2 linked regions of the Canis lupus familiaris genome follow. The protein of the gene in region 1 interacts with the protein of each later gene in a biochemical or structural test. Links are inferred from orthologs where the notes say so. Each region holds a gene or a part of one and is shown on either strand. Other genes may lie near its edges. The genes, in order: XIAP and MAP3K2.

Region 1 (12,394 bases):
TATATGTTACACAGCTATAATGTGGCAATTTTAATGAGGCTGCAGTAGTACTTCTCTTCCATTTGAACAGATCATTTTTCGACCATGGGAAGTTGATAGCAAAACTTACTGCAATTAAGGTCTATACATACTTACTATCTTTCCTGAGCTACCCTCTAGAGGGCAGTAATATATACATCCGAAATGATCCAATTCCCACAGAAAATGGACTACAGGAGTCCCATTTTCATATGCATGAAAATCAGAAACACTCAAGTGCTCTTAAACACTCGATGCTCATATTGGAACCAGTGTTGTGAGTAAAACTCAAATACCTTTTGCTAAGCAGAAAAGTAAAGAAATAATAAAAATTAATTCATTAACATTCTGAACATTTTTTTTAAATTGAAAAACTGAACTTTGATGGCTTGAATATATAATGATCTATTATAACAATTATGCATAGAGTTTAATAATCTGCATAATTTATGCTTTTGTTTTTCCTAATTAATAATTTTACATGGTTAATAATTTTAATATATTCTGTATCACAGTTTCCATATTTACATAAAGTAATCAATTAAAGAACAGTTTTATTCTACCTGCTTGAATATTACTTTCCTCCAGAAAATGAAAATGCTGGTTTTTACTTTATAAAGCTTGAATCATATAATGCAGAGCTCTAGTATTTGGAATTAGAATGTTTTTTTTAGAGATTGTGTAATTAATTTTATGTCATCAGGTAATTTGTTAGCTCCTAATATCAAAATTATATTGCCTGTGTTTCAGATTTTGAATTTTCTAATGTAATGTTCTCTTTTCAGAAAAGGTGGACAAGTCCTATTTTCAAGAGAAGATGACTTTTAACAGTTTTGAAGGAGCTAAAACTTGTGTACCTGCAGGCATCAATAAGGATGAAGAATTTGTAGAAGAGTTTAATAGATTAAAAACTTTTGCTAATTTTCCAAGTAGCAGTCCTGTTTCAGCATCAACGTTAGCACGAGCTGGTTTTCTGTATACTGGTGAAGGAGATACTGTGCGGTGCTTTAGTTGTCATGCATCAATAGATAGATGGCAATATGGAGACTCAGCAGTTGGAAGACACAGGAAAGTATCCCCAAATTGCAGATTTATCAATGGCTTTTATTTTGAAAACACTGCTGCACAACCTACAAATCCAGGTATCCAAAATGGTCAATATAATGCAGAAAACTATCTGAGAAACAGAGATCATTTTGTTTTAGACAGACCATCTGAGACTCATGCAGATTATCTTTTGAGAACTGGACAGGTCGTAGATATATCAGACACCACATACCCGGAGAACCCTGCCATGTATAGTGAAGAAGCTAGATTAAACTCATTTCAGAACTGGCCAGACTATGTCCACTTGACCCCAAGAGAGTTAGCTAGTGCTGGATTCTACTACACAGGTATTGACGATCAAGTGCAGTGCTTTTGTTGTGGTGGAAAACTGAAAAATTGGGAACCGTGTGATAATGCATGGTCAGAACACAGGCGACACTTTCCTAATTGCTTCTTTGTTCTGGGCCGGAATGTTAATATTCGAAGTGAATCTGATGTTGCGAGTACTGATAGGAACGTCCCAAATTCAACAAGTATTCCAGAAAATCCAGCCATGGCAGATTATGAAGCACGGATCGTTACTTTTCGGATGTGGATGTGTTCAATTAACAAGGAGCAACTTGCAAGAGCTGGATTTTATTCTTTAGGTAAACTTTATTATAAAACCAGGCTAATAAATAACTTTCCAACTATCCCAGTCCCCCTAAAAAGTGGATTCCTTTAGCCCCCTGAACTGGTAAATAAAGGCTGGCATGATTAATCTGTGAACCTTTATGTTGAATTTGCAGTGTAACTACTACATTTATGTGAAAAAGGACTACTATATTGTGAGTTATATTTATCTTTGTTTTTTTGGAGAAGGATTACATGCAAAAGATGATAGATCTCCCAGATAGAAGAATGGGTCTGACAGTAATATAAACTATAATTTATTGAGCACCTACTGTATGTGCTCAGTACATGTATCACATGCATTCTTTCTATACCTCATAAAAAGAGTTAACATTAGAGAGTTTAGTTTGGCTGATATTAAAATTGATACCTGCCTTTTGTACATAGAGTTTATATTTGAAAGCTGCCCTGTATGCCTTTTTGCTTCAAATAAGCACTTCTCTTTTTTTTTTTTTTTTTTTTTTTTAAATAAGCACTTCTCAAATGGACTACTGTAAACTTGTCAGGAAGGGCCCTTAGTGTGATGACTTCCAGGAATATTCAGAAAAGTTATACCATCATATATCTGACTCATTAGCTTTAGGATTGAGTAGTGCCAAAATACAAAATATTAGTTATTTCAATATTTTATTCACATAGTATCCTGTAGCAATTTTGAAGGTTTGTTTAGTGTCATGTAGCTATAACCCTAGAGAAACTTACTTTGTAATTTTGTTAACCTGAGCCTTATTGTTAAAGTTTCACAGTTTGAAAAAGTGTAGTATTGGTAGACCCAAATGATAACAATTTTAATTTTTCACATAAAAATTGGTCAATTTATTTTGTCTTCTGTAAAATACCTCAAATTGAATCAGTGAATTTAGTGTGTATTCCCTCCTCAAACAGTCATGGCTGTTATTTAAATGTGAATTTGAATGTCGTCTTTGAAGCTGAGATTCTCATGTAATTTAAAATGGTTAATTTCATGGTGTTAAAGGGGCATTTTTGCATAGGCTTCTAATTGCACAAATACATGTATTTTTACTTGTGTCTCTTCTTAGGGGATGGTGATAAAGTAAAATGCTTTCACTGTGGAGGAGGACTAACTGATTGGAAGCCCAGTGAAGACCCTTGGGAACAACATGCTAAGTGGTTTCCAGGGTAAGGTATTTAAATGTTTATTTAGGAACAGGCAAGTTAGACACTTTGCAGTCAGGAAAATCTTGAATAACTTTTCACCTAACTATTTTTGCCTTCACTATGGCTTGCAATTCACACCAAGTTTATAAAAATGGGGTCACCTACTTTATAGAAAAAAAAAGGCCCTAAGCCTTCTCTGGTGACCAAAGCATTCATTGCTTATATGTTATATATATGACATTCAAATTATTCTATTTCTAAACACTAATTAGGAATATATAGTTTTGTTGTTAGAAGTAGGCTCTTTCACAATGACCACGGGAGAGCCCTTGTTGCCAAGGATTTTTTCCTTGGAACCCATCACATCCCCTAGCAAATTTTACTGTATCTCTCTGATTATAAGACACACAATTGTTCACATTTTCAAATTTTTGAAATGATACATCTGGTGGTGGGTCATAATTTAATTGGCAGCGGTGGTACATAAAATAATCATCCTTCTTATAATCAGTGGCATCTTAGAATGATAATAACATACTCTGTCTCTTTGTCATCTTGTTTCTTTAAAAATATTCATACATATAAGTGATGTAAAATTTTTGACCTACAAACTAGTACAATTTAAAACTTCAGAGCGATTGTTTGAAAATAAATCTTAAGCTTAAAAAGCCTTAAAAGGAAAGGTTGAAAGCCTAAGGAGTTCCTTCAGAGTGTGTAGTTGGTTAATCCTCTAAACAAAATTAAACTATTTAAAAAATTAAATCTTAAATTTAATAACTTGGTTTAAGGTTGGAAGTTCTCAAGTTGTTATTTTTTGCCTAAGATTACCAAAGAGTAGTATAACAAAGGAACGTATTTCTTTAACTTTGAAATGACAGTTGGTAGAGATTAAATAACATTTCATTTTGCAGCTTCTTAGAAATACCAAAAAGGAAGTTAATGGAATTAAGATAATGGAGATATCTGTATTTATACTTTACTGATTTATCAGCTACCAAAGTTTAACCTTCTTTTAATTGTTTAGGTGTAAATATCTGTTAGAAGAGAAGGGACAAGAATATATAAACAATATTCATTTAACCCATTCAGTGGTAAGTCACATATTGTAGAATATAAAATATTATTTAATTTGTTTTGCAATGATTTCTTGGTGTAAAATTCACAGTATAGTATCTTAAATTAATAATGTATGGTGGGCTTTAAAGGGGAGATCTTGAAGAATGCTTGTTATTTCTTTTTTTTTTAATTTTTTTATTTATTTATGATAGTCACACAGAGAGAGGGAGAGAGAGGCAGAGACACAGGCAGAGGGAGAAGCAGGCTCCACGCAGGGAGCCCGACGTGGGATTCGATCCTGAGTCTCCAGGATCGTGCCCTGGGCCAAAGGCAGGCGCCAAACCGCTGCGCCACCCAGGGATCCCGAATGCTTGTTATTTCTTAACCTGAAGTAGCTTTGTGAAAGAGGAATCCCCATAAGCTGATTGATTTAACTCACTGTAAATAAAAATGGGTTTGAAGAACTAAAATACTTAATCCCTCAACTTTCTGAAATTAGACTTTTGTATAATGTGTTTTATACTCATAAATAATTGTGAACTTTCCAAAGGCAATATTTTAAATCTCAGAAGCGTGTCTAAATTGATGGCAGCCTGGGATGGCTAAGGTATTGGTACCATGTGGGAAGAGCCATGGACTAGAATGGGAAGCCAGAGTTGTCATTTATGGCTCTACCATGAGCTCCCTTGCCTCAATCGAGTTGTTTAAACTCCCTGAGACTCAGTGCCCTGTCTATAGAGTGAGTGGATTGTGTTAGATGATCTTTTAACTTCCTTCTAGTGGGGATCCCTGAGTGGCTCGGTGGTTTAGCACCTGCCTTCAGCCCAGGGCGTGATCCTGGAGTCCTGGGATCGAGTCCCACATCAGGCTCCCTGCATGGAGCCTGCTTCTCTCCCTGTGCCTGTGTCTCTGCCTCTCTCTCTTTCTGTGTGTCTCATGTATAAATTTTAAAAATCTTAAAAAAAAAAAACCTTCCTTCTAGCTTCATCAGGTTATGCCTCTTGCAAACATTCATATGTTGAATTGGAATAAAGCCAATTTATAAATTCATGATTAGTGTAACTTTTCAAATTGAGGTAATCATCTTCTACCAAAAAGAATTCTAACTTATAGTCCATATTTCTATTTCAGCTAAGAACTGCTGAAAGAACACGGTCATTAACTGAAAGAATTGGTAAGTATGTACATTAAAATAAATATACTTTTAATTTCATTAGCAGTTTATTACAGTTGTTTTTTTATAGGGTAGAGACATAAGCTTATTTTTTCAAGATAATCAAAGTAGATTTATTTGAGATGAGATTGCTATAAATTTAAGGATTAGGAAGTGCCTATAAATTTAAGTCAGTTATAGGTAGCTGGGTGGCTCAGTGGTTGAGCCATCTGCCTTTGGCTCAGGTAATGATCCCAGGGTCCTGGGATCGAGTCCCACATTAGGCTCCCTACAGGGAACCTGCTTCTCCCTCTGCCTATGTCTCTGCCCCTTTCTCTGTCTCTCATGAATAAATAAATAAAATCTTTTTAAAAATTTTAAGTCAGGGCAGCCCAGGTGGCTCAGTGGTTTAGCACGGCCTTCAGCCCAGGGCGTGATCCTGGAGACCCAGGATCGAGTCCCATTTCAGGCTCCCTGCATGGAGCCTGCTTCTCCCTCTGCCTGTGTCTCTGCCTCTGTCTCTCTTCTCTCTCTCTGTGTCTCTCATGAATAAATAAATAAAATCTTTAAAAAAATTTTTAAGTCAGATATTTATATAGTAAGAACATTCATGTGACTCATGTAACACTGTACATTAATTGTACTGGAAAAATTTAAATTATACTAAATTATATTATAAGTTATATAATTATATACATTACATAAAATGATACTAATTATAGTAAAGTAAAAATAAAATTTTAAGAAAGGACATTCCTATGGCGGTTGTGCAGTTAGCTTTTCCAAGCTTAGGAGGAGCAGCTATAGGCTGTCCATTGCCATTTCTGTTAAAATCCCCAAAGGAAGAGAGATAAGTGTATTTTTGTCCCAGGTACTTCTTGAGTTAGCCAGGACCATGAATCCAGTGCTGTACTAATGTGCCATCACCATGGTCGGCCCTACCTGCTTCCTTATCCCATGCCATTCTTGAGCCTCCCCCAGTTTCTTCACAGAGGGGCATGGTTCAGTTTATCTTCTCTTACCTTATAGAAAGGTAGAGATTTTTATCCCAAAGATTATTTACTCATCATAAACATCTTTAAAAGCCAGAAAGATACCAGGATGCCTGGGTGGCTCAGCGGTTGAGCATCTGCCTTCAGCTCAGGGTGTGATCCCGGAGTTCCGGGATGGAGTCCCACATCGGGCTCTTTGCATGGAGCCTGCTTCTCCCTCTGCCTATGTCTCTGCCTTCTCTCTGTGTCTCTCATGAATAAGTAAATAAAATCTTTTTTTTAAAAATCCAGAAAGATACTATGTTAAGCAAAGATGATATTGTTATCTCCACTTTTCAGATGCTGAAACAGAGACCAGGAGGTTAAGTGACCCGCCCACAGTTACATTTACAAATCATTAGTGGAACTGGGACTATTAACGGGGTCTTCTGAAATCTGCATCACACTGTGGATCTCATTTCCAGCTTAGGCATCATGTTTCAAAAATAGTAGAAAGTGTAATTTAGAATATGTCTGCTGATTCCCCATTCCTTATACCATCATCTTTTTGGTATCTTAAGGGTTACAAGACAAGAGAAAACTATAAGTATTCATAAATATACTTAAGAAGGAGAGCCACTTTGATAATATTTGATACAGATTTTGAAATGGGCATAAATAATAAAGTTTAAGAAATCATTTATTGGGATGCCTGGGTTACTCAGTGGTTGAGCATTTGCCTTCAGCTCAGGGCATGATCCTGGGTTCCGGGATTGAGTCCACATTGGGCTCCCTGCAGGAAACCTGCTTCTCCCTCTGCCTGTGTCTCCCCCCCACCCCCACCCCGTTCTCTCATGAATAAATAAATAAGTCTTTAAAAAAATTGAGATATGAAAAGAAACAATAATAAAATAAAATTGAGATGTGTAATTCATGTAGCAAAAATTTCACCCTTATAAACTGTACATTTTAGTGGTTTTTAGTAAATTCACAAGGTTGTGGAACAAACCATCACTGCCATTTAATTCCAGAACATTATTATAATCCCAAAAAAGAAACCCTGTATCCATTAGCAGCCACTCCCCATTGCTGCCCCTTCCCCCTCAGCCTCCAGACAACTACTCATCTACTTCTATCTCTCTGGATGTACCTATTCTAGACATTTCATATGAATGGAATCATAATATGTGGCTTTGAAGTTCATCCATGTTGTGGTACTTATACATGATTACTTCATTCTTTTTTTATGGTAGAAAAAGTTTCCTTAGTGTAGATAATACCATGTTCTGTTTATCTACTCATCAGTTGGTAGACATTTGGGTCTCCAGTTTTTGGCTCTTATGAATGATATTGATGCTGCTATGAACATTTGTGTGCAAATTTTTGCGTGGACATAGGTTTTTAATTTGCCTGAGTATATATTTCAGCATGGAATTGCTGGGTCATGTAGTAACTCTACATTTAACTTTTGATAAATGGCCAGTTTTCCAATGCGGCTGTACTATTTTACGTTCCCACTAGCAGTATATAAGGATTCCAGTTTGTTTTTCCATATCCTTGTTAACACTTGTTATTGTATATGTTTTTTAAAAATTTTATTTCTTTATTTGAGAGAGAGTGCGCATGCAGAGGGAGAGGGAGAAGCAGGCTCCTGGCTGAGCAGGGAGCCCAATGGCGGGGCTCAATTCCAGGACCCCGGGATCATGACCTGAGCCTAAGGCAGATGCTCAGCCAACTGAGCCACGTAGGCACCCCTTGTATGTTTTTTTTTTATAGCCATCCTAGTGGATGTGAAGTGGTATCCTATTGTGGTTTTGATTTGCATTTCCCTGATGGTTAATGATGTCGGGCATCCTTTCATGTGCTTATTGGCCATTTGTATGTCTTTGGAGAAATGTCTCTTCATCGCCTTTCCCCGTTTTTTAGTTGGGTTATTCATTTTTTTGTTATTGAGTTGTAAGTGTTTTTTATATATTCTAATATTTTTACAGTTACGTACCTTGTCGGATATATGATTTGTAAATATTTTCACTCGTTCTTTTCACTTTCTTGCTGATATACTTTGAAGTATATAAATTTTTAATTTTGATGAAATCCAATTTATCTTATTTTTTGTTGCTTATTCTTTCAGGGCTATATCTAAGAAACCATTGCCTAATCCAAGGTCATCTATGTTTTCTTCTAATAATTTTATTACTTTTTAATCTTTTTAAAAAAGTTTTATTTATTTGACAGGGAGATAGCGAGAGAACAGACAGTGGGAGCAGGCAGAGGGAGAGTGAGACACAGGCTCCCTGCCAAACATGGAGCCAATTGTGGGGCCTGATCCCAGGACCCTAAGATCATGACCTGAGCCAAAGGCAGGTGCTTACCCAACTGAGCCACCCAGGCACCCCAAGTTTTATGGTTTTATCTCTTACATTCAGGTCTTTGATCCATTTCAAGTTCATTTTTGTATGTGTGTAAAGTGGGGGCCCTTCTAATTATTTTTTATATGGATATCCTGTTGCCCATGCTTTTGATTTTCAGCAAAGTAAGCTTGAGATACCTGCAGGGTATCCAAGTAGGTGGGTCTTAAAACCTGGAACTCATAAATAAGGGTAAAATTGTGGTAGTGGGGCAAGTATCCAGAGAGATTGTTAAAAAGGGGATCATTGAGGTAATGGAAGGGAACCACCAGTGTCTAATCAGGTGAGCAGAAGGAGCCAGCAAAACAAGCTGGGAAAAAAAACAAGTAGAACCACGAAAGAGTGATGTCCAGCTGACCTCTGGACATCTCCACCTGGAAATCTTAAAAGCAGCTCAAATTCAGCATTTCTAAAAATCACTCAGACTGAATCCAGGCTTGTTCTTTGCACGCCCCCCCCCCCAACATTCGTTAATAGTTTAATAGTTCACAAGGTCGCCCAGTAATTTGAGCCATTTTAAGCTCTTTGCTTTCCTTAATCCCTCTACATTTAATTAACCACCAGGTCTGATGAATTCAGCCTTTTTAATATTGTCTAAAATCCACTGGTTCTGCCCTACTTTCTGCCCTTATTTCTCATTCAGATTCTTTAGTAGTCTCATAAATGGTCTTTTATCTGTATTATAACCATACAACAGTGTTCTCTTTATCAAACAGAAATCTTGGGATCCCTGGGTGGTGCAGCGGTTTGGCGCCTGCCTTTGGCCCAGGGCGTGATCCTGGAGACCCGGGATCAAGTCCCACATTGGGCTCCCGGTGCATGGAGCCTGCTTCTCCCTCTGCCTGTGTCTCTGCCTCTCTCTCTCTCTCTCTCTCTCTCTCTCTCTCTGTGTGACTATCATAAATAAATAAATTTAAAAAAAAATCTTAAGGTACTTTCCTACTTTTGTTACTTACTATGTAATATTTCTTATAATCAAATCCCTTTCCAGCTCCTCTTTTTAAAAAAAATTATTGAAGTATAATACATATACAATAAAATGCTTAAAATAGACTTAAGTATTCAACTCAATGAATTTTTACATGCATTTATTTGTGTAGTCATCAGCCAAATCAAGATATAGAACAGGGGCATCTGGGTGGCTCAGTTGGCCAAGCGTCTGCCTTCAACTCCTGTCATGATCCTGGGATTGAGCCCCACCCCCTCCCTGCTCAGCTGGGAGTCTGATTCTCCCTTTGCCCCTCCTCTGCTAGTGTGCTTTCTCTCTCTCTCTCTCTCTTTCAAATAAATAAATAAAATCTTTTTAAAAAAATAACATTTCTGCCAGGCCAGAAACTCCTTCAGGCCCTTTTCCCAATCAATATCTGTCCCTGATTTATGTTCTGACTAACCATAGATTAGATTTGAACATCTTAGAAATGTAATCATACAGTGTATTCTTTTGTCTCTGGTCCATCATTACGATGACATTTTGTTCATCAGATCTGTGAGACTTATCTATGTTTCTGTGGCAATAGTTCGTTTTTCTGCTTGCTCTGTAGTGTTTCAATATCCCAATTTACTTATCCATTCCCCTGGTGATAGATGTTTGAGTTATTTCCTATTTGAGGCTGTTATACATGACACTGCTGTGAATATTCTTGTGCATGTTTTTGATGAACCTTTGTCCTTATTTTTGATACTTGAGAATAGAATTGATGAATCAGAGAATGTAAGTCTCCTCTTTATCAGTTCCCTACATAACCTGTATTTCTACTTTGAGTACCATTAAAGTGAGTTTCTATTCATTTTATTGTCACTCCCCTGGGCTGCAGAAACTAAGTCTCAGAGATGGGAAACTCACACATTCAGGGTCAGAGACTGGGACTTCCCCCTATTTCCTGTGATTTTTCCAGAATAATTGCTAGTGACTTGAGAAAGACATCCACTCTTTACATACTTAGGTTAGTTGTGAATACAACTGATTTGAAAAAAAGTTCTGGGGATCCCTGGGTGGCGCAGTGGTTTAGCGCCTGCCTTTGGCCCAGGGCGCGATCCTGGAGACCCGGGATCAATTCCCACATCGGGCTCCCGGTGCATGGAGCCTGCTTCTCCCTCTGCCTCTGTCTCTGCCTCTCTCTCTCTCTCTCTGTGACTATCATAAATAAATAAATTAAAAAAAAAAAAAGTTCTGGGTTTTGAAGTGCTTAACTTTTTCTTACTGGTTTTACCTAATCTTGCACTATTTCTTCAGCCTTTAGAGCAATTAATCTCAATAGTACTATAAAATAGAGGTGCCTGGGTGGCTCAGTGGTTGAGTATCTGCCTTTGCCTCAGGGCCTGACCCCAGGGTCCTGGGATCGAGTCCCATATCAGGCTCCAGGGAGCCTGCTTCTCCCTCTGCCTGTGTTTCTGCCTCTCTCTCTGTATCTTGTGAATAAATAAATAAAATCTTTAAAAAAAATAGTACTATAAAATAATACTGTATTTGCGATGATTAAGATTCTGAAAGAATCTTCAGTGCTTAAATATTTCAAAATCTTCTTCCCAAAGTTGCTTTCATTTGCTGGTTTGTTTTTTGTTTTTCTACTTGCTGTTTACCTTTTTCTTTTTAACTGTACTTTGCTGTTGAGTTGTGTTAATGAAAATAATTGTTTAAACTCTGTGTTCTTTTTCTTCACCAATTTTCATTTCAGAGGATGCCATCTTCCAAAATCCTATGTTACAAGAAGCTATACGAATGGGATTCAGTTTCAAGGACATTAAGAAAATAATGGAGGAAAAAATTCAGACATCTGGGAGCAACTATGTATCACTTGAGGCTCTGGTTTCAGATCTAGTGAGTGCTCAGAAAGACCATACACAAGATGAATCAAGCCAGACTTCATTGCAAAAAGGTATACATGGCTATTTTTAAAAAGCAAGAAACACTTAACAGTACTTCATTACAGATAGTATTTTATATGACTTGGTGGCCCATTCACTTTTTCCTTCTCACATGTCTCTTAGAATAAACATTTTTAAAAAGTTTTTGTTAAGGGCAACCCTCTCGGGTGCCTTCCCTCTTTGGGAGCTTTGTATTCTATCATTAAGTAAACTTTATTATTGCTCAATAAACCTTGCTTTGCTGCCCACCAAAAAGAAATAAAACTTTTTGTTAATAGGGGTGCCTGGGTGGCTCAGTCGGTTAAGCGTTTGCCTTTGGCTCAGGTTGTGATCTCAGGGTCCTTGAATTGAGCCCCACTTTGGGCTCCCTGCTCAGTGGGAAGTCTGCTTCTCCTTCAACCTCTCCCACTCATGCTCGTGCTCTCTCTTTCTCTCTCTCTCTCTCTCTCTCTCCCCCTCTTAAATAAATAAATAAAATCTTCATTTAAAAAACAATTTTTGTGGGGGATCCCTGGGTGGATCAGCGGTTTGGCGCCTGCCTTCGGCCTAGGGCATGATCCTGGAGTCCCGGGATCGAGTCCCACATCAGGTTCCTTTTATGGAGCCTGCCTCTCCCTCTGCCTGTGTCTCTGCCTCTCTGTCTCTCTCTGTGTCTCTCATGAATAAATGAATAAAATTTAAAAAAATATTGTTGTTAATAAAAAATTCAAAAATACTCAAAAGTGAATAAAACAGTACAATGAACCCTCATGATAAACCAGATTCAATAATGATCAACAATTTTCCAATTAATTTCATTTCTTTCCCCAACTTTTTTTGCTATGGTATTTAAAAGAAAATTCCAGGCATCCTATATATCATTTACCTCTAAATACTTTAATATAAATCTAACAGATAAGGATTTTTCTTTTTTTTTTTGATTTTTCTTAACATAATCTAACACACATACTGTGTGTTAAGCAGTTACTTAAACTGTGCTCAGACTACTCTAACAGAATACCATAGACTTAAACAACAGACATTTATTTCTCACATTTCTGGGGGCTGAGAAGTCCAGGATCAAGGTGCCGGCAGGTATGGTTCCT
Region 2 (12,394 bases), on another chromosome or scaffold:
CTGCCTCTCCCTCCACCCCCTCTCTCTGTCTCTCATGAATAAATAAATAAAATCTTTAAAAAAAATAAACATACACTTCTTTCTTCATTGCCTCATCATGTTATAGTATCTATCATTTTTTTTTAAGGTTTTATTTATCCATTCATGCGGGACAGAGAGAGAGGCAGAGACACAGGCAGAGGGAGAAGCAGGCTCCATGCAAGGAGCCTGATGTGGGACTCGATCCCAGGTTCCCAGGATCATGCCCTGAGCTGAAGGCGACGCTAAACTGCTGAGCCACCCAGGCTGCCCTAGTATCTATCATTTTAAAGTAAAAAATTGTCAGTTCACTGTAGCTGCATTAGAACAAGCCGAATGCATTAGTTAAACTGACATTTTAAATTCATTTTGAATTAAAACTATACTGAATACCTCACTCTTGTCCTGCTAGCAAATATTCCAGGTTGAGTTCAGTGCTAGCATAAGAAGAAACTAGAAATTGTAATGTAGTAGAAAACTGTTGGTCTTTTATTGGCACTTTACACTTGGAATGGCTTTGATAGATATGACCCATCATCTTTTTTCCATATTTATTGACAGTTATCTTTTTAATTATTTTCTTTATTATTATCTTTTTATTATTTTAATAGGAGTGTAGGCTGTGGTGTGGAGGTCTCAACCAGTAGCATTGGCATACCTGTTACCAACAAAAGTTAAGAAAAATGGGTTATCTTTGGGTATAAATACTCAGTAGTGGAATTATGTGGTCATATGGTAGTTCAATTTCTGATTTTTTGAGGAACCTCCATACTGTTTTCCACAGTGGTTACACCAATTTACATTGCCACCAACTGTTCATGAAGGTTCTTTATCTTTTTTTTAAAAGATTATTTATTTATTTATTTATTCATTCATTCATTCATTCATTCATTCATGAGACACACACACACACACACACACACACACACACAGAGGAAGAGGAAGAAGCAGGCTCCATTCAGTAAGCCTGATGCAGGACTTGATTCTGGGACTCCAGGATCACGCCCTGAGCCAAAGGCAGACGCTCAACCGCTGAGCATCCAACTGTCCCGTGAAGGTTCTTTTTTCTCTACATCCTTTTTCTCCAGCTATTGTTTCTTGTGCTGTTGATTTATCCATTCTGATAGGTAGGAGATGATATCTCATCGTGGTTTGATTTACATTTTCCTGATGAGGAATGATGTTGAGCATCTTGTGTCTTTTGGTAAAGAAAATGAAATATGAAGAAATTCAAAGAAAAGCTAATTTGAAAAGATAAATACATCTTTATGTTTGTTATAGCATTATTTGCAATAGCCAAGGTATGATGCAACATAAGTGTCTGTGGATAAATGAATAAAGAAGATGTGGAATATATACACAATGCTATATTACTGAGCCATAAAAAAGAATAAGATCATTCCGTTTGCGGCAACACGGGTGGACCTAGAAGGTATTATGCTAAGTGAAATAAGTCAGACAAAGACAGATGCCATACAATTTCACTTATATGTAGAATCTGAAAAACAAAACAAATGAATAAACAAGCCAAAAACCAGAAAGATACAGAGAACAAATTGGTGGTTGTCAGGGGATTGGGGGTTTGGACAAAATAAGTGAAGGGGATTAAGAGGCACAAACTTCCAGTTATAAAATAATAAGGCACAGAGATGAAAAGCACAGTGTAGGGAATATAGTCAGTAATATTGTAATAACATATGATGATGCCAATTACACTTAACAGTGGTGAGCATTAGAATTGTCAGATCACTATGTTGTATACCTGCAACTGTTACAACATTGTGTGTCAACTAGACTTTAGTTAAAATAAAAGAAAAATGTGTTATCAAGTAAACAGATTTTGAAGAAACTTTATAGCAGTTTTTCTTCCCTATCTCCTTTTAGTAATGAGTATATTGATCTTCTTTTATAAAGAAGGGTATATGGAAGGAATGAAAATGCTTAGGACAGTGTGATTATAGCTGTTACAAAGCTTAAGTAAACCCCTGGCCTGAAGCTGAGTTCTTAATTATTTCAGAGTCAAGTAGAAAGTTGATCTTTTCTGTGCATATCTCTTGGTAATTATTTTGTTCTCTTTTTCCCTATCTCCCCACTAACAAATGCTGGCATATACCTATAGCAACTTCTTTTTTATAAGCAGAGCCTTTTTGCTTTATTTTGTTTTTTGTTTTTGTTTTTGTTTTTTTTTTGCCTTTTTGCTTTAAATCTGACCCAAACTTAAATGCTCACATAACTTCCCCATGTCTTTTTTTAAAATTGTTTAATTTCAAAATATTGAGAGAAAAGGAGAGACCTGTGTTAATAAACATAACATTATTTCTATAAAGCCAGGTTAAAAATACAGTGGATTATTGTTTCATAAGAAACAATGGGATTAGTTAGATGAACTATATTAGATTTTTTGAACTGTAAAGAAATTTAAATGCCAGGAATCTGGCTTGTCATAAAATCTAATTTTAAAGTACCTAAGAATAAAATTCAGAATTCCAATTTGGAAACACTCTAATATGACCTTTTAAAAGTGATTTAAGCAGTAATCTCACTTTAGGTTTCTAAAGGTTAAGGAGAGGGAATGGAAAGAGCATGATGGAGCCAAATGGTCATAGCATATGTTCAGTATGAACAATTTTACTATCACAGTGCCCTTGGAAAGGAAGGATTTAGTCTTTGTTTACCCTGAGTGCTGGCTTTATGTATTTTTAAATCTATTTTTTAAATTCAAGTATAATTAACATACAGTGTTATGTTAGATTCAGGTGTACAATTTAGTGATTCAGTAATTCTGTACATTTCTCGGTAGTCATCAAGATAAGTGTACTCTTAATTCCCCTTACCTGTTTCATCCATCCCCACATCCACCTCCCCACTGGCAACCATAAGCTTGTTCTCTACAAGAGAAGGGGTTTAGTCTTATGTTGACAGATGAGGAAATGGGTTTGTGGGGATTGGGTAACTTAACCAAAGACATACAGTTGGTAAATAACTAGAACTGAGATTTAAACAGGTCTAAAGTCCACATTCTTTCCACTACATTATGATGCCTTCCATATGTTCTGTTAAAGGGTAACATATCTAAGTAAAAGTGACCCTTGGAAGTTCAGAAGTGGTGGCATCTAAAAATCTTTATTATAGTATCAGCCCCATAATGCCATTGTCAGCAGTTAGAGGAACATACTACCTAGTAAGTATAAATAAATATTGCAGTGAAGTTAATAATTATAGTAGGGTTGGGAGTTTAGAAAGGTATAAATACATTTGAAGATTTATAGAAATGAATGTTCTTTTTTTTTTTTTTTTAGAAATGAATGTTCTGATAACTTTTAATAAAAACTGGATTTCAATAGCTGAAATTATTGGTATTATGGTCCAGAAATCCTGTGTATATATTTAATTGAAACAAAAATTAGTTCCCAAATGATATTTATAAAATTGTATAATTTTTTTTCCTTTGAGGTCCCACTAGTAGAGATAGAAGCTCCCCTCCCCCGGGATACATTCCAGATGAATTACACCAAGTTGCCCGGAATGGGTCATTCACCAGTATCAACAGTGAAGGAGAGTTCATTCCAGAGAGCATGGACCAAGTAAGCAAAAGTTGGATGTCATTTTTCATTTCATTTAAAAGGATGTCATAGGATTTGTGTGGTTTGTCTGGTGTCTTGTGTGTGTGTGTGTGTGTGTGTGTGTGTGTCCGTGTCCCCGTGTGTCCTCTTCCTCCCATCCTGTCCGTATCTTCCTTCTTAAGTGAACAGAATAGTAAAAAACATAGGAAAATGCTAACTCACTTACATGTGCCTCTGTGTATTCATGTAGAAACAAAGCTGGAATAAGGCTGGTTTTCTTATTTTGCTCATTAAATGCATTTGTTTGTAATCATGGGATTAACATTCAGATTTTTAATTAACATTAGAAAGATACAATAAAACTGCAGATATTTAACTATGTGAAGCTTAGGTTTGTCTACTTTGTAAAATATCTTTAAATGTTTTAGCAATATGGTAGTCATGGTGTCATTCTCAGTTTGAGTGGGGCTGTTGTTCAGTGTTCAGTAAGCAAAACTATGTGAAATCTTTTAGCTTTTAATTATTTAGCTAATAGTCCATAGAGAAAATATTTTTCTCTTAGGAGATTTTGAAGTCATAGCCTACCTACAAAAGGGACCACTACATTTAAAACATTAAAAAATGAATAACTCTGGGAGGAGGTGACTGCTATTGGATATGGGGTCTTCTTTTGGGTACTGAAAGTGTTCTCAGATAGTGGTAAGGGTTCCACAACTCTCAATATACTGTAAACCACTAAATTGTACACTTTAAATGGGTGAATTTTATGTTATATGAATTATATCTCAATAAAGCTATTTAAAAAAACCCAGTAACTGCTTGTTATATCACATTGAATCATGGAGGAACTCTTTGTTTTTCTAGATGCTGGATCCATTGTCTTTAAGCAGCCCTGAAAATTCTGGCTCAGGAAGTTGTCCATCACTTGATAGTCCTTTGGATGGGTAATATTGATTATAGTTTTTATTTTTTAGTATATGTGCATAAATGCATGTATATATATTATGTTAGAAGAGTGTAATTGATACTCATTACTTAGGGCAAATGAATTTTTTCACAGTTTGGACAAATCCCTTAACCTCTTGGAGCTCAGTATCTTTATCAGGTAAAATGATATCTGATTATAATGAGTATTTCTGTTTACCAAAATTGTGTGTTTGAAGCTAAATGCAAACTTAGAATTTATGTGTATTTACTTTTAAAACTCTGTTGGTGGGGTGCCTGAGTGGTGCAGTTGGTTGAGCTTCTAACTCTGATTTCAGCTCAGATCTGATGTCAGGGTTGTGAGATTGACCTCAATGTCAGGCTCCGTGCTCAGAGGGAAGTCAGCTTGGACTCCCTCTCCCTACCTGCCCTACCCCTGCCCTACCCCACCACCTGCAGACGTGTGTGTGTGTGTGTGTGTGTGTGCATGCACGCGCGCGTGCATGTTCTCTTTCTCTCTCAAATAGATAAAATTAAAAAAAAAATACATTTAGGGGCACCTGGGTGGCTCAGTGGTTGAGTGTCTGCCTTTGGCTCAGATTATGATCCCTGGGTCCTGGGATTCAGTCCCACAGCAGTCTCCCCACAGGGAGCCTGCTTCTGCCTTTGCCTATATCTCTGCCTTTCAGTGTCTCTCATGAAAAATAAATAAAATCTTTTTAAAAAAATGCATTTAGTTTTGGAGGTTTCTTGAGTTGTTTCACCTGTTCAGGATTATGTTCATTTTAGCACTAACTTATAGATAACTTATTTTTCTTGGTAATTGTGGCCCAGTATGTTGGCTGTCATTTAAAATTTAATACTTACGTTTTGTGAAATAGCTGTTCAGGAATATAAACTGGATGAAATTGCAACTGGATTTTTTGTTACAGGTGCTTCTTCTTTCCTGGTCTCAATAAAGACAGTGTTTACCTGTAGCATACAGAGTCCATAAAATGTGTACCTAGTTGATCTCATCTGGGATTTCTTTTTGAAGCAAATTCTGAAAATATAACAAATACTGTATAGGAATACACATTTAATTTTCATTTACCTGTACACACAAAACCTTTGTGCCCATGTCTATGTCAAGATAGGTAATTGAAACATTTAAGAAATTCAGGAAAATAGTAATGCGAAAGCTATATATTGAGCACTTAATATTTGAAAGACAGTGTCCTGAGCACTATGTATATACACACACTTGATGAGTGGGAAATTAATATCTTGTTTTTATAGATATGGATAGTCTCAGAAAGGTGATATGTCAAGGTTGCAACTGCTAGTTGAGTGGTAGAGCTAGAATTGAAACACAGTATTTGCCAACATCTGTAATTCCCAAACTTTTCATTTTTACTGCTATACCCTATAGGTTATTTTTAAAAGCCAGGCTTTTGCCTCTGTGCAGTAAATAAGTGTTAGAAAAGAAGTTTCTTTCAGTTAACATTTCAGACAGACCTCCTTTATTCTTAGTATTGCATACACACACACACACACACACACACACACACACACACAATTTCCACCACACATACATACAGATACTGATATTTTAAATGTATTTACATACTTTTTGCTCATTTAACACGACATTTTTTTATTTTTAGGGAGAGCTATCCAAAATCACGAATGCCTAGGGCACAGAGCTATCCAGATAATCATCAGGAATTTTCAGGTTAGACTATCCATATTCTAAATGTTTAAATATGTCATTAAATAGTGCTTTGCTGAGAGGGAGAAGGGAATTTTTTTTAAAAATGAATAAAAATGTGTAAATGTGTTTATTATTAGAGATGTTTGACTTTTTTGTAACATATAACTTTCTTATGTCTCAGTAGACTATGATAACCCTATCTTTGAGAAATTTGGAAAAGGGGGAACATACCCAAGAAGGTATCATGTTTCATATCACCATCAAGACTATAATGATGGTAAGTTTCTGGCAATTAGACCACAAGAACAGCTTGTTAAAAATCTCAAAAATAATCAAAATTTAAAAATATCATACTTAAATAAACCAGTAGAAATAAATTCATTCGTAAATCACTTACTTTTCTACTTAAAACAATTTTCGAAAGGAATTAACTAACTAAAACTGTAGTTACATCTTAGGGTTAGATTATTATTAGATGTTATTAAGTTGCCCTAAGGCAACTTACGTTACCTAGGGTTAGGGCAACTTACCTAATAATACTTACCTTTCCCTCAAAAGAAAAGGTGTAATTAAAGAATGATATTAATTAGAAAATTACTCCTTGATGATGAAATTCATACTTGCATTAAACTTTTATGGAAAAAATTGCTACCTATTAATTTTCCAATTTTTGTTCTTATAATTGGAAATGAGAATAAAGTACATTTTTTCCTCCTTCTTATCCAGAAGTGAGGGAGTACAATGATTTTTTTGAATGTATGCATGTTTTAACAAGAGATTGCTTGAATTTATATTCAGATCCTATTTTTTTATCAACTCTTCATTTTTGCTTTTTTAACCTTTCCTCTTCCTTGTATTTTCACTTTTGACTTCATGATCCAGTGTTAAAAAGGATATTCCCTTGAACTTTATTTTTTATTATTATTATTTTTTTAAAGATTTATTTATTTATGATAGACATAGAAAGAGAGAGAGAGAGAGGCAGAGACACAGGAGGAGGGAGAAGCAGGCTTCATGCCGGGAGCCTGACGCGGGGCTGGATCCCGGGACTCCAGGATCACGCCCTGGGCCAAAGGCAGGCACTAAACCGCTGAGCCACCCAGGGATCCCCTCCCTTGAACTTTAAAAGAAAATATTACTCTTAAGTTTAAAACATGTAATCAAATAACCATTGCTATTTCAGTGTCTTAACCTTAAATCTAGTCACAAGACAGACTTCTGTACCTTATGTCATAAATTTAAATACTTTCAATTATAACATGAATAAAAGTCCTAAGGTAATTCTGTTTTGATTTTGTAGGTCGTAAAACTTTTCCAAGAGCTAGAAGGACTCAGGGGACCAGCTTCCGGTCTCCTGTGAGTTTCAGTCCTACCGATCACTCTTTAAGCACTAGTAGTGGAAGCAGTATCTTTACCCCAGAGTATGATGATAGTCGAATAAGAAGAAGGGGAAGTGACATAGACAATCCTACTTTGACTGTAATGGACATCAGCCCACCCAGCCGCTGTAAGTAATAGAAATTGACACAGTGAATGTTTTGCAGAAAAAAAAAAAAAAATATATATATATATATATATTTTGTAGATCCAGGATTTTGTAGATTATAGATTATGTAGATCTGGGATTCTTTCAGGTATCAAATTCTTAAAAGAATTGCTTTTAATCTTTCTTGTAATGTAACTCTGCTGGTAATGAATTCTTTTAGCTTTTGTTTGAAAAAGGCCTTTTTTTCCTTTTATTTCTGAAAGATTTTTTTTTTCTGGGTACAGAATGCTGGGCAGTTTTTGTTTTTTGTTTTTGTTTTTTTTTTCTGTTAGTGCTTTAAAGCTATTGCTCCATTATCATCTTCTGGCTTTTGTATATTGTTTTGTTTGTTTGTTTTGTTTTTTTGTTTTTGTTTTTGTTTGCTTTTGTATACTTTTTGAGGAAAGGTCTGATGTAATGCTCATCTTTATTCTTCTGCATTTACTTAAAATTTATGTACATATATTTATGTATATATTTATTCTTTATTCTCCCCTCTGGCTGCTTTCAAGATTTTCTCTTGTTAGAATGAGACTGATATTCTTTATAGCTTTCTACATTGTAAGCAGATGGAAAACTAATTACAAATATTGCTGCAATAAACAACTGGGTGTTATACTATATGTTGGCAAATTGAATTTAAATAAATTTTAAAAAGGAAATTAGAAAAAAATGCAAAAAATTATTGCTGCAGTAAAGATTAAAAATAGTGCATCTGACAATCAGTGGTACCTTGGATTCAGTGAAAGATGCTTTACATTTTTAATGGGGAGCAGATATAATCTCACTGGAAAAAAGATGTGGGGATATATGAACCTTATTTGTGTTTAGAATTCTTGGAAAATTTACAAAGTGGTGATCATTATGAATTTGGATGATTATGATTTTCCCTTATATCCAAGTGTATTCAGTTAAGGATATCATTAATACAGTTTACTCATTTAGTTTGTAACTATTTGTGTGCCATCTGGCTATTCCATTTTAAGAAAACATTCTTTTTTAGCACCTCGTGCTCCAACAAACTGGAGATTGGGCAAACTGCTTGGCCAAGGAGCATTTGGCAGGGTCTACCTCTGTTATGATGTCGATACAGGAAGAGAATTGGCAGTTAAGCAAGTTCAGTTTGACCCTGATAGCCCTGAGACCAGCAAGGTAAGAATCACTGCACAAGCTACTTTGTCACATTTATAAAAAGCATTTTTACTAAATATAACACAATAGAATTTTTGTTTTTTCTTAATACAAATTATTTGCAAAACAAATCCATATATAATTAGATATATTTGTTTACTCTGTACTGTGATTTTTTTTTTCTCTTTTAGTGCTCCGTAATGTTCCTATCTAATTTAGGGTTGCTTTAGTATACCATCAAGGACTGTTATAAAAGTTACTGTTTAGAGACTTTAAAATGTTTATTCCTTGGGAAGTAAAAATTTCAGAATGAAATCACCTCGATGGTCCATGAAGTTCAAATGTTTTCCTTTTAACTAGCAATGCTATAAAGACTTAACAGTGAGTTCTGTCTTTCAGGAAGTAAATGCACTTGAGTGTGAAATTCAGTTGTTGAAAAACTTGCTGCATGAGCGAATTGTTCAGTATTATGGCTGTTTGAGGGATCCCCAGGAAAAAACACTTTCCATATTTATGGAATATATGCCAGGGGTAAGTTGTTATGTCCTTTAAAAATAGACATTTTCTCTTTAAAGTCTTAGTTGAGGAAAGAAAAACAACAGAACTCTGATTATAAAATGTAAAGTAGTTAAGGACTTTAAAGACATTTTGAAAGTTTTAAATTAGAGCTATGTAATATAATTTTTTTTTGTATCTTCATTTTGTAGTTCTTAACTCATTTAAAAAAAAAAAAAGCTGAGGTATACTAAAGTTATAGGTACCATAGCAGTCCATACTCAGATTTCCCTAAATGCTCTTAAAATAACCGTAATAGCTGGTTTATCCAAACCAGGATCCAGCCCAGGACCACACATTACCTTTAACTGTTATGCCTCTTACTTCTCTTTTAACTTAGAACATTTTTTACATGACATAGGTTTGACAAAGAGACTGGGCTAGTTCTGTTGACAATCTCCTCTCATAGATTTCTCTAATTGCATCCTCATGGTAGTGTTTAATTTGTTCCTTTATTCTCTTATTTCCTATAAACTCCAAGTTAGATCTAATATCTAAATTAGATTAAGATTCAGCATTTTTTATTAGGTGCATCTGTGATGCATTCTAATGATGCTGTGCATCTCGTGTTGCATCGCATTAGGAGACATACAATTTCTAATGGTTCTACTGTTAGTGATGCAAAGATTGAGTGCTAGGTTAGGATGATCAACATCCAGATTTCTCCAATGTAAGGTTTTGTTTATTCCTGAGGACCAGAAAGTAATCTGGGCTATTAGCACATAAGACTATCTAGTTCCTGGGGTGCCTGGGTATTTCAGTCGGTTAAGTGTCCAACTCTTGGTTTCAGCTGACATCATGATCTCAGGGCTTGTGAGATTAAACCCTGCACCCTACATTCAGCTCCATGCTCAGTGGGCAGTCTGCTTGAAGATTCTCTCCGTCTGCTCCTCCCCCAACTCACATACTCACGTGCTCTCTCTCTCTCTCTCTCAAATAAATAAATCTTTAAAGAATAAAAAGAACACAGTTTCCAGTTCCTTTTCAAACCATCCTTTTCCAGGTTTTTAATACAGATTGGTAATCATTGCCTGAGTCAGTAGTTTCGGTAGGAGCTGCAAAATGTGACTTGCAAACTGTCATTCCTTCTATGTTGTTTTTAGTATTTGTAGAGTACATTTTAGTATTAATGATTTTCAAGATGGTGGTATATTTACTCATTTAAAAATACATGCATTCGTATAATTTAATTGGTAGTATATATGGTATATTACCTGATTTGATTTATGGGTCTTTAAGTAGATTTTTTTAAAAGATTTTATTTATTTATGAGCGGTACAAAGAGAGAGAGAGGCAGAGACATAGGCAGAGGGAGAAGCAGGCTAACCGCTGAGCCACGCAGGTTTCCCTAAGTAGATTGTTTATTAGAATTGTATGTTTCATGTACAAGGTTGCAGTTTAAGCTATGGATCTGTAAAACTATGGATCAGTATCTGATAGTCATAGTCTTAATCATCCAGTTTCATAAGATCAACAGTTAAGTTTACTTTCTTATTATCATGAATAATTAATTAATTTTTTATAGTGACACAATTGTTTATAGTTACACATCACTGCTACTTTGTATTTTCAAAGATCCTGTTGACAAAGTAAATTAGTTTGTTTTTTAAGTACCTTTGGAAAACAAATTTGTGATGGAAATATCAGTACTCACAGTGAAAGTAAATTATGATGGCATTGCCCAAGAGAATATATTAAAATCACGAAGGCTATGTAGCAAAGTTGGAAGAAGTAAGAAAAAGAATATAAAATGCTTTTAAATAGTAATGAGGCTATTTTAAAAATATCTGTATTTGGACAAGGACCCAAGAAACTTGAAAATGTGTTATGTTGAGATTATGATTGATTTTTCTTTTATTTAGATTTCCATTACTGTTTGGGCAATAAATATCTGAATTAGAAATAAAAATTAAGGCATGCCTGGGTGGCTCAGCAGATAAGAGTCTGCCTTTGGCTCAGGGTGTGATCCTGGAGTCCCCAGATCGATTCCCACATCAGGAGCCTGCTTCTCCCTCTGCTTGTGTCTCTGCCTCTCTGTCTCTCTCATGAATAAATAAATAAAATAGTTTTAAAAAAAGAAAAATTAATTCTAAGTGTGAATAGAGACCCACATTATTGAAGATAAGATTAAATGGTTTAATTGGCTAGAACTGATTTACATCACAAATGGAGATGAGTAATCTTATAGATTTAGGAATCTTAAGACTAAGGTGGTGTATTCAGGAGAGATGTTAGTTCATGTTTCTCATTAACTTTACTTGGTTTTGTAAAGGCAGCTATCTCTTCAAAGTATAGGTTGTCACTGAAATCATTTTACTAAATTAATAATAGTTCATCAGTCTTAAAATGAATTACACATATGCCAAGCATAGGCATATATGGGCCAGATGTACATCATCTTAGACATTACTGAATTTCTAAGTTTGTGAATGATGCTATATAATTTTTCTCATTAAATTTAGTAGGATGGGGGTACCTGGGTAGCTCAGTGATTGAGCATCTGCCTTTGGCTCAGGTCGTGATCCTCAAGCCCTGGATCAAGTCCCCCATTGGGCTCCCCATGGGGAGCCTGCTTCTCCCTCTGCCCGTGTCTCTGCCACTCTCTCTCTCTCTCTCATGAGTAAGTAAATAAAGTCTTAACAAACAAATAAATAAATAAATTGAGTATGATCCATCTCTTTGTGCAACTAGATTTCATGCTTTGCCAAAATTGTTACTGCTTTTCAGTTTTCTCAAATACATTCTAGTCCTTAGTTTATCTAGAACTACTTTCAGAATAGAACCATAACGTTATTTTCAGTACCTGGACTAGCAGATGATTTCTCTTTTTGTGTGACACACACACACACACACACACACACAATTTTTAGCTGGTACACTACTTTGCAACCCATTCTCCTTGTTCACACTGAGGAAAATAACTTTTTTTTTTGTTTTTTTTTTATTTTTACATTTTTTCCTTTTCTATTATTTTTTTTAAGATTT

What was found.
Region 2: of the proteins of XIAP (region 1) and MAP3K2, one has a biochemical effect on the other in vitro, tested with the Homo sapiens proteins (2 studies listed by BioGRID, with this or other methods). The link is inferred for Canis lupus familiaris from reciprocal best matches to the Homo sapiens genes XIAP and MAP3K2.

Annotation. Positions count from the first base shown.
Region 1 is NC_049260.1:96,092,986-96,105,379, forward strand, and holds the start of XIAP (E3 ubiquitin-protein ligase XIAP), read left to right. Parts: upstream 1-827; 5' UTR 828-835; coding exon 836-1,712; intron 1,713-2,777; coding exon 2,778-2,877; intron 2,878-3,880; coding exon 3,881-3,947; intron 3,948-5,043; coding exon 5,044-5,086; intron 5,087-11,119; coding exon 11,120-11,320; intron 11,321-12,394.
Region 2 is NC_049240.1:24,624,758-24,637,151, forward strand, and holds part of MAP3K2 (mitogen-activated protein kinase kinase kinase 2), read left to right. Parts: intron 1-3,471; coding exon 3,472-3,602; intron 3,603-4,445; coding exon 4,446-4,525; intron 4,526-6,151; coding exon 6,152-6,219; intron 6,220-6,379; coding exon 6,380-6,475; intron 6,476-7,498; coding exon 7,499-7,705; intron 7,706-8,726; coding exon 8,727-8,875; intron 8,876-9,253; coding exon 9,254-9,385; intron 9,386-12,394. UniProt on the Homo sapiens protein: Component of a protein kinase signal transduction cascade. Regulates the JNK and ERK5 pathways by phosphorylating and activating MAP2K5 and MAP2K7. Plays a role in caveolae kiss-and-run dynamics.